3 linked regions of the Tribolium castaneum genome follow. The protein of the gene in region 1 interacts with the protein of each later gene in a pairwise test. Links are inferred from orthologs where the notes say so. Each region holds a gene or a part of one and is shown on either strand. Other genes may lie near its edges. The genes, in order: prefoldin subunit 3, Pfdn5 and Pfdn2.

What was found.
Region 2: the proteins of prefoldin subunit 3 (region 1) and Pfdn5 interact in binary tests that used the Drosophila melanogaster proteins (3 or more experiments, as listed by UniProt). The link is inferred for Tribolium castaneum from reciprocal best matches to the Drosophila melanogaster genes mgr and Pfdn5.
Region 3: the proteins of prefoldin subunit 3 (region 1) and Pfdn2 interact in binary tests that used the Drosophila melanogaster proteins (3 or more experiments, as listed by UniProt). The link is inferred for Tribolium castaneum from reciprocal best matches to the Drosophila melanogaster genes mgr and Pfdn2.

The regions. Positions count from the first base shown.
Region 1 is NC_087397.1:4,273,495-4,276,334, reverse strand, and holds prefoldin subunit 3, read left to right. Parts: upstream 1-1,342; 5' UTR 1,343-1,402; coding exon 1,403-1,483; intron 1,484-1,562; coding exon 1,563-1,960; intron 1,961-2,004; coding exon 2,005-2,095; 3' UTR 2,096-2,303; downstream 2,304-2,840. Other genes in the region: S2P (membrane-bound transcription factor site-2 protease), read right to left, coding at 1-1,129, 1,174-1,248; c-Myc-binding protein homolog, read right to left, coding at 2,617-2,840. UniProt on the Drosophila melanogaster protein: Binds specifically to cytosolic chaperonin (c-CPN) and transfers target proteins to it. Binds to nascent polypeptide chain and promotes folding in an environment in which there are many competing pathways for nonnative proteins.
Region 2 is NC_087400.1:9,621,975-9,624,647, forward strand, and holds Pfdn5 (prefoldin subunit 5), read left to right. Parts: upstream 1-1,262; 5' UTR 1,263-1,341; coding exon 1,342-1,443; intron 1,444-1,499; coding exon 1,500-1,634; intron 1,635-1,681; coding exon 1,682-1,756; intron 1,757-1,806; coding exon 1,807-1,959; 3' UTR 1,960-2,035; downstream 2,036-2,673. Other genes in the region: uncharacterized protein LOC103314387, read right to left, coding at 459-485, 536-574, 626-749, 888-961. UniProt on the Drosophila melanogaster protein: Binds specifically to cytosolic chaperonin (c-CPN) and transfers target proteins to it. Binds to nascent polypeptide chain and promotes folding in an environment in which there are many competing pathways for nonnative proteins.
Region 3 is NC_087397.1:2,599,080-2,601,918, forward strand, and holds Pfdn2 (prefoldin subunit 2), read left to right. Parts: upstream 1-1,474; 5' UTR 1,475-1,551; coding exon 1,552-1,691; intron 1,692-1,848; coding exon 1,849-2,143; 3' UTR 2,144-2,325; downstream 2,326-2,839. Other genes in the region: Vang (van-gogh), read right to left, coding at 1-572, 622-725; chondroadherin, read left to right, coding at 2,760-2,839. UniProt on the Drosophila melanogaster protein: Binds specifically to cytosolic chaperonin (c-CPN) and transfers target proteins to it. Binds to nascent polypeptide chain and promotes folding in an environment in which there are many competing pathways for nonnative proteins.

The sequences.
Region 1 (2,840 bases):
ACGAATATTTTGGGACGTATGAGGACACCGTCACTGTCCTCACAAGATCAGACACGGGCCCAATGTAGATAACGTCGTTTTTGTTGACTCGCTTGATTTTAAACAAATTCGTGTTATTCGTTAAAATCGGTCTGAAACAATAAGTATCTTTGGGGCAAACATGGGGGTCAGATATGCAGAAATTTGTCGAGGCTTCGATCGCAGGTCTTCCAGGCAAACAGGCGTAAGGGGGCAGCTCCAAAATGCTGTCTTTACTATCCAAGTACTCAAAACACAATTTGCCTTTATTCTCTGAATGGCAGCAGCTTACAATCCCACTTTCGGAGTGTTTCAAATGAACGCTCTCATCCAGATCGCGCACAACGTCGCCCTCAATACAAAACGCGGGCTTTTTTGTGCGTAAAGCCACTAAACATTTGTACCACGCATTTTCATCGTCCACCTCACAATCATTAATTTTCAAAATTAAATCGCCAACATTTAAACCCCTATTTCCGAAAATTGGCGATTTTGCCTCAAATTCCGTTACCACAACTCCTTTACCAAAGTTGAAAAACGGTGAAAAAACGGACGGTAGAGAAGTGTAGAGTAAGTAAGCTACGAGTGCAATTAGCAAGTTGTGCCAAACTCCGGCGCACAAAATCTTGAGTCTTTTCCAAGGATTTAGAGAAAATAATTTGTCGGAATTTAAGTTAACGTAAGCCACTGGCAAAATAAAAATTACGTTGGCGCCCACATTGATCACATTTACGTCTTCTTGCACAGCCCCTAACGCATGGCCTAGCTCGTGCAAAACCGAACTGATTAGCAAAGTTAAACTGTAGTAACCCATTTCGGATGCTGGAAGGTTTATTCCCGGGACTACCGGCTGAATTATGCTTTCCTCGCCACTTGCCGAAGACAAAAAGTTTTGGAAGAAAGCCACTAACAATAGGTAGATCGAAGCAGGCAGCAAAACTAAACTCACACATAGCCCCAAATTAAACCACAAATTAAGAAATTTCGTGTTGTGACTGCCCCACTTAAGCAGCAATTTATTAAAGGCTGTCGTGGTCCACGAAAACTGGAACAATTTGATCTCCAGGCCCGTTCCTTTAAGAAATTGGATGTATCCGTAATGAGAACATGACTAAAATTGTGGTTTTTAAGGGCACTAAACGTGTTCCGACTTACTTTAAAAAACCTGTCCATGAAGAGAACCCATAAGTAAATCGCCGCTATTGTCATTAAGCCAAAAATCAAGTCCATTTTTAAGTTTTTAACTCATTTTTCAAAAAATTATTAAATTTCCTAACCCCACATAATAGAGTGGTGGCTACCAACGCAACGAATTGATAAAATAAAAACCACCAAACTTTCAATTGTTTAGTCGGTGGAGTGGGTAAATTTTGCAAAAACTAGAATGGAACAGTCAGAATCGGAAAATAACACAGAACTGGGAGACAAAAAGTCCTACGCTGGAATCCCCGAAGCCGAATTTGTCGTAAGTGTCGAAACCCCGTCCACATGTTTTTCGAAAAAACGTAACCTCAATCCCGACCTTATGATTTTTCCTGTCTCAGGAAGATGTGGATGCGTACATGGCGCGGCCCGAAAACAACAAAAACGTGGAAGAAGTGTTGAAAAAATTAGATAACCAACATGCCAAGTATAAGTTTATGGAATATAATTTATTGTCGAAGAAAAAACGGCTCCAGAACCAAGTCCCCGAGCTGAAGCGTTCGTTAACGATGATTGAGAAACTAGGCGAACAGAAAAACGAATTCGAGACTCAGTTTTTGCTCAGCGAACAGGTTTTCGCCAAAGCTAAAGTGCCACCAACTGAGACGGTGTTCCTGTGGCTGGGGGCCAATGTCATGCTTGAATATAGTTTAAAAGATGCTCAGGAGCTGCTCACGCAGAATATTGCTGCAGCTACTAAGAATTTAAAATATGTGGAACACGATCTCGACTTTTTGAGGTAACGCTTTGTTGGGGTTTACTTTAGGCTGAGTCAATTTTCAGGGATCAGTTTACGACAACCGAGGTCAATATGGCGAGAGTGTTCAACTGGGACGTGAAGAGACGCCAAGCTGCGAAAGCAGCGGCAAAATGAGGCTCCAAGTGACCATTTAGCACTGTTTTAATTTTGTTACAAGATCTGTCACTGCTGCTTTATATCGTCCAGTTTTGCAAAATATATTTTCGCGCTCGCACTTTTACAGTGCATGTAAATCACATGTTACTTCCAGCTTGAGCATTTAATAACTTAGCTTTTATTTAACCCGTTTCTGTGAATAAAACTATTTCTAATAAGGAAATAACTTTAATTGCTAATAAACACAGACTGTTTCTTCAAACTTCTTTTGCCAAGTGCATAAAATTTTATAAATGAAAAAATAATACTGCAAATAACAGTCCACATAATATTCAATATACGAACATAAAAGTGCTTCTCAAAAATGGTAGTTAAGGCATCACCTGAATTAATTTACAGGTTGAGTTAAGTACAATGTGAAGACCGACTAAAGTCTTAAAATTTCACAATTCTAAAACAAACTAAAAATTAATTCATAAAAGGAACAAAAATAAAATTCTAAAAATAAAAAACAATGTATAATATGGCAAAGAGGAGCATCACTGGTCGGCGTTTTCTGGAGGCTGTTCAGCTGGGGCCTCTTCAGAGGGCGCCGCCGCGGCCGCTGCCTCCTCCGGCGGGTTCTCGTCGCCCCCAGTTGGCTCAAAACCTTCCTCCAAGGGAGCGCCTTCCTCGTCAGCCGGAGCTGGAGGCTCCATACTGATCCTCAGCTCCTCCAACTCTTGGTTGAGAGCCTCAACGCGGGCCTGGTACTCATCTATCT
Region 2 (2,673 bases), on another chromosome or scaffold:
AATTAAACCTTTTCTTAAAGGAGTTTACTTTTTCAACGCATTAGCCTGTAGAATTAAAAAACCTTTAATATGATGTACACATAATACAGACTGATCCAGAAATACTGAGTCTGTTGGCAACACTGGACTTAAATTTTTAAGGATACCAATGAAGTACGCTTCAAGTTAACAAGAATTTAACATTCTTGTGGAGTTGGACGTCAAATAATTGTCAAGAAAAATCGAATTCGGTTGCAATGTTACAAATTACGAGCACAAATACTTTCAAATGTGTTGCCAATAGACTCAGTTTTTCTGGATCAGTCTGTATTTGAAATTCTGTTGCGTATTAAGAGAGAAAACTTTTTTAACTGCGCCCTCTGGCGACATTAGCGGAACCATTAAAAACGGGAACGTTTTATTTGTATGTACATCGTTTCGTATCCTAATCTTTAGATATCCGTACTTAAAACACTTACAGAATTTGATCGTTTTAACCCAGAATTCTGAAATAAATAGGTGTTTAACGTTATGTCAATTGTATTTACTGTTTTACCAGAGTCGGAGTAATGACCGTTGATTTTTTATAAGAAACCTACAATCAGCATTAGAGTGATAAAGTTCTCGAAACAAAACAAAACCTAACTGATGGAGTAACCGAAGGTCTTCTCAAATTTGACGAACTTGTTGATCTTTTCAAGGGCGGATTTAAGGTTCGGTCCATGGAATTCGCCCTGAACCTTTTTGCATTGTCATCTTTTGCACTAACTCTTTAAAACAAATTAGAGCCAATAATTTCATTTGAATTTCTTGAAGAAGGAATTTAGGAGAAGGGTACTTTTGGTAATTTTTTACTTTTTTAATAAACCAGGACCTAAATTAGGTACTACAAGTTTACATTATTTTACCTGCTGACAGAAGACTTTGAGCGTGACCTATTGGGGACTGGAAGTTGGGAGCTGCTGTTTGACCGTCGGTACATTGTTCAAAAGACTTCTCAACTTATTAAAAACACAATTAAATCATAAAACTGACTGAAGTGTACAAACATCAAGTTCAAAAAACGTTATTACAAAATCACCAATCAAGAAAGTCCAATAGATGCAATTTATCTACTAAATGTATCTAAATTGGAACTACTTGCTGTTAATTTTTTTAATATGTACCAATAAATACGAAACGTATACAGATTTATTTAACTGGAAACAATTTTAAAAAAATAATGCAAAGCAGTGCTTGTATGAAAGACACAGCATTGTCTTTCGACGAGTAGTTCATTCAAACAGTGCAATTTGTCTCTACTCCATTGCTATTTGACACTACCTTGTTTGTCCATTTATTAGTTATTAATTTATTAGAAAAATGGCTCAAATTTCGTCCACAGAACAGCCTAATATGAAGCAAGTGGATCTGATGACGCTAAATATCCAGCAGTTATCAACGTTAAAGCAACAGTTAGACCAGGTATGTGCCCTAACCTCAAACCTTGCACATGATTCTAAAAACTGCTCTTTTTCCAGGAATTGTCGCTCTTTCAAGAATCTCTTGCGTCCCTCAAAATGGCACAGACGAAATTTCAAAACTCCGGAGAGTCTCTGGAGAAAGTTGGCCCCGATTCGGATGGAAAAGAGATTTTAGTGCCGTTAACAGGATCGGTAATTTGAGTAATATTTACGAACTTTAATGAAAGTTTTTTTTTAAGATGTACGTGCCTGGAAAGTTGCACGAGACCAACAATGTGTTGATCGATATCGGAACCAGATATTATGCAGAAAAGGTGCAGCAATGTTGATGTTGAAATTGTGTGTTAATGATTGAATTTTTTAGGATATTGATGCTGCTAAAGATTACTTTAAGCGGAAAATTCAGTTTGTGACAGAACAGATGGAGAAAATTCAAATTTTGGGGTTGGAAAAAAGCAAAATTAGAGATGCTATTGTGGAAATTGTGGAATTAAAGCTGCAACAGCAACAGAATTGAGTTTAATTTTGTACATGATTTATTTATAACTGTGTTTAAATGTTTACCTAATAATAAAAAGATAAATTAACCTCCACTTTATTTGATTTTATGTTCCTGACTTATTCGGGAATTGTCTACATTTTGTATTAATCAATTTTGGTCAAAATTTGTTGCCGGATAGGCAACCAAATATACAGCTAGTTTTGGACTATCACTGAGAATATTACACACTGATCCACAAAAACTGAGTTTGTTGGCAACAATGGCTCGTAATTTGCAAGACTGCAACCGAATTCGATTACTTTTGACAATTATTTAACATACAATACCACAAGATTGTTGAATTGTTGTTAACTGGAAGCGTACTCCAATGGTATTCTATAAAATTTAAATTCAATGTTGCCAACAGTCTCAGTATTTCTGGATTAGCCTGTATTTATAATAGATGGTTATAGGAAATGCTAATATAGATCGATAAAGAAAAATATTCTCCTCCATCTAGTAAAATAAAAATTAGGATATTAATATAAGTTATGGGTACTTGAAGTTGTACAAACTTAACTTTAAAATTTTGGGTTTTTTACACTTCTTTTCCAATTTTGAACACATTAGAAAACAGATTTTATAGGCTTTCTCTTTTAATTCTTCAAAGATAATTTCGAAATTTCTCAAACTAAAAAAGCTACCGAATTTTTTAAGTGTCAGGTGCAAATCCAATAATTTTCAAAAAAA
Region 3 (2,839 bases), about 1.7 Mb from region 1:
TCACTTGAACTATATAAAACAGCCAATAGGCGAAAATACAGACTAAAACAAAGGCTAGGACAGCCGCCCGAAACAGGAAAAACCTTGGCAAGGTCGCATTCGGCTTGCGCAAGAACACAGCCCAGGCCCCGACCGCCAAAATGGCCATTTTGAACGCCAACGACACCAACTGGCCTTTACATTCGGCCCCGCAAGCTAACAATTTCGCGCTGTCTGCGAGTCCCAGCCGCGAGGACAGCGCAGGGAAGAACCCCAGTTTTGGCAATACGACCATGGCTAAGGGGCTCAAGAAGGCAACTATTGAAAGGATGTACGTTAGCACCGTCCCCATGTATCTTTGGCAGACGAAGGAGAGCCCGGTGTCAGGTTCACCGGGCCAGTTACTGACGTCTTCGGTCGACTGGGACTGCTCGGACGTGTTCCCGGTGATGGCAGTGGTGTTCTCGCCCCAGTTGTCGTCCTGGGGCAGGATTTGCACCTCGATGACCTCCTGGCCGTCGCGGTTGTCGGGGGTGAGGGTCACGGCCGTCTGGAAGGGCGCCATCTCGTCGTTTTTGCGAGACTTGGAGCTTCTGTAAAAAAATTACTTTCAAGATGGTCCAGAATTGTTTGGGCACGAACCTGGTGCTTCTGTGGGAGTGCTGTCGGTAGTTGTTGCGGTCGCGGTGCCCCCGTGAACGTCTCGATCGTGAACTGTTTTCCGATTTTATGGATTCAGTCTCCATATCTCGTCCAGTTTCGTTGCCCATGTATTTTCCCAAAAGCCGGATTTTTTTTGCAAGAAACTGTCATGAGTGGTTCTTTATCAACACTTTTGCGGGAATTCTCGTCAAAAATCCTGATTATTTCACTAATAAGTTCAATGACTCCTCACGTTGATGACATTTCGTAAACATGTATTTGTGCATAAAAAATCCAAACAATTTCCGTTATTTGGAGCCTTAGGCCACTTCCGGGGTTCGTTTCGCTCAGGAGGAATGCATTTTCTTGGGATTTGTTTCGTAAGAGTTGCGTAAATCGTTTACAAATTGCATTTAAATTAGTGCGGCGGCTTGTGTGCGTTTTTCTAATAAAACTGGATCATTTTTCTCAAACGGCACTTGGAACACGCACCGTTTTTTCCCCACACACGTAACCAATTCCCTCCGACACTCCACACATGCTTTTTTATTCAAATTTATTCAAAATTTACTGAAAACTAAATCGGAGTTTATAAAATGTAAACGCCTACGTTTAGGAGCAATTTAATTGCCCCATAAATTATGGCTGCAACATGGCTACCGTGTAAACCAAAAATGACTAAAAACACTAAATAGAGCAATTCCTTCCAATGAATTTCAGTCAAAGAAACCGAGACGAGGAAAAAAATAGACGTAGTCTAGACCCGGGAAGATAAATTTCAATTGAAAAAAAATCCACATTGTCTGGTTATCGCAAAATTGGCAAAAACGCGCTTGGTTTTTTCTTTCCGCCAGGTTTACATCATGTGGCTGCGTCACGTGACCATGACAAAGTGACATTTCTCAAATTCCGGATTTATGTTTACCAAAAATGGCAAGTGATTCGAAAAAGAAATCGTCCAAAGGGCTCACGCCCGAGGAGATCCTGAACGGCTTTCAAGCGCTAAGGGCCGAGCAGCGCACCCTTTCATCAAAACTGACGGAATTCGAAGCCGATTCCAACGAACACAAGTAAGTTTCCGGCCCGGTTGTGGCCCCAAACGTGGGGCTGTGGCGGCGAAACCCACGGCAAATTACTCAAAATTGAGTAAATTTTCATTTTTGAAATGAAATTTTTTTCGTGGTTGCCGGTTTTTTTGTAAAATGTTACATAACCTCGCTTTTACAGAATGGTCATCGCCACTTTACAAAACGTGAACGAAGACCGGCGTTGCTTCCGACTAGTCGGGGGGGTTTTAACTGAGCGAAAAGTGAAGGACGTTCTTCCGGCACTTGTTGCGAATTTGGAGAAACTCAAAGAACTTATTGAAAAGTTGAAAGAACAAATCACGAAGAAAGGTGTGGAGATTAATGAATACAGGGAAAAGTATAACATTAGCTTTAGAGGGTTGGATAATCCGGCCCCGAAACAGGAGGAGCAAGTGGCGGCTTCAGAGAGTAGAGGAAATGTTTTAGTGTCTTAAATATGCATGTGCTTTTTTTATTTACACCTAAGCTAGGATTTTTCTTTTGTAGAATATTTATTTTATGTATTTCATTCGAATTTGGTCGGCATTTAACAAATTCATCTTTTTCTATGAGAGCTGTGCTGGTTTTTTGCAAGGTAATGTAACATATTTCATCCGAATAAAAATTTAATTTGTAAGTGGTTTTTTATTAATTTACCCCCATTACCCAATGACGAATTACGTAAGCACCAATAAATTATAATCTCAATTGCATATTCAACAAAAAAAAACAATTAAATTTCTTTCGTTTTTTGTGGCTGTATTATTGGTTGCCTAACCATGACTTTAAATTATTTCTCTAAAAAATTCAAATGAAAGCCTTAATAAGTTTTAATAAATTAAAGCACTTAATATTCACCACATTAAAAAAAACTGGTTTAATTATATAATTAAATTACAATATAAGTATTATCTAAGATAAAAAAAAGATAGATAGTAAATAATAAACCAATCATTTATTAAATCCTATTTGCTCTAGATATCAGTAGTCAGTATGTGAAGTGACTCAGTTTAGAAAAAACATCATGATAAGTTAACTGATAAAAGATTTTCCTCTTGTTCTAGTGAGACAATGTTTAAGTTTAGTTTCCTTCTTGTTTTTTCTTTATTATTTTACCACAACGAGGCCTTAAACCAGCTATGTTCCGTAAG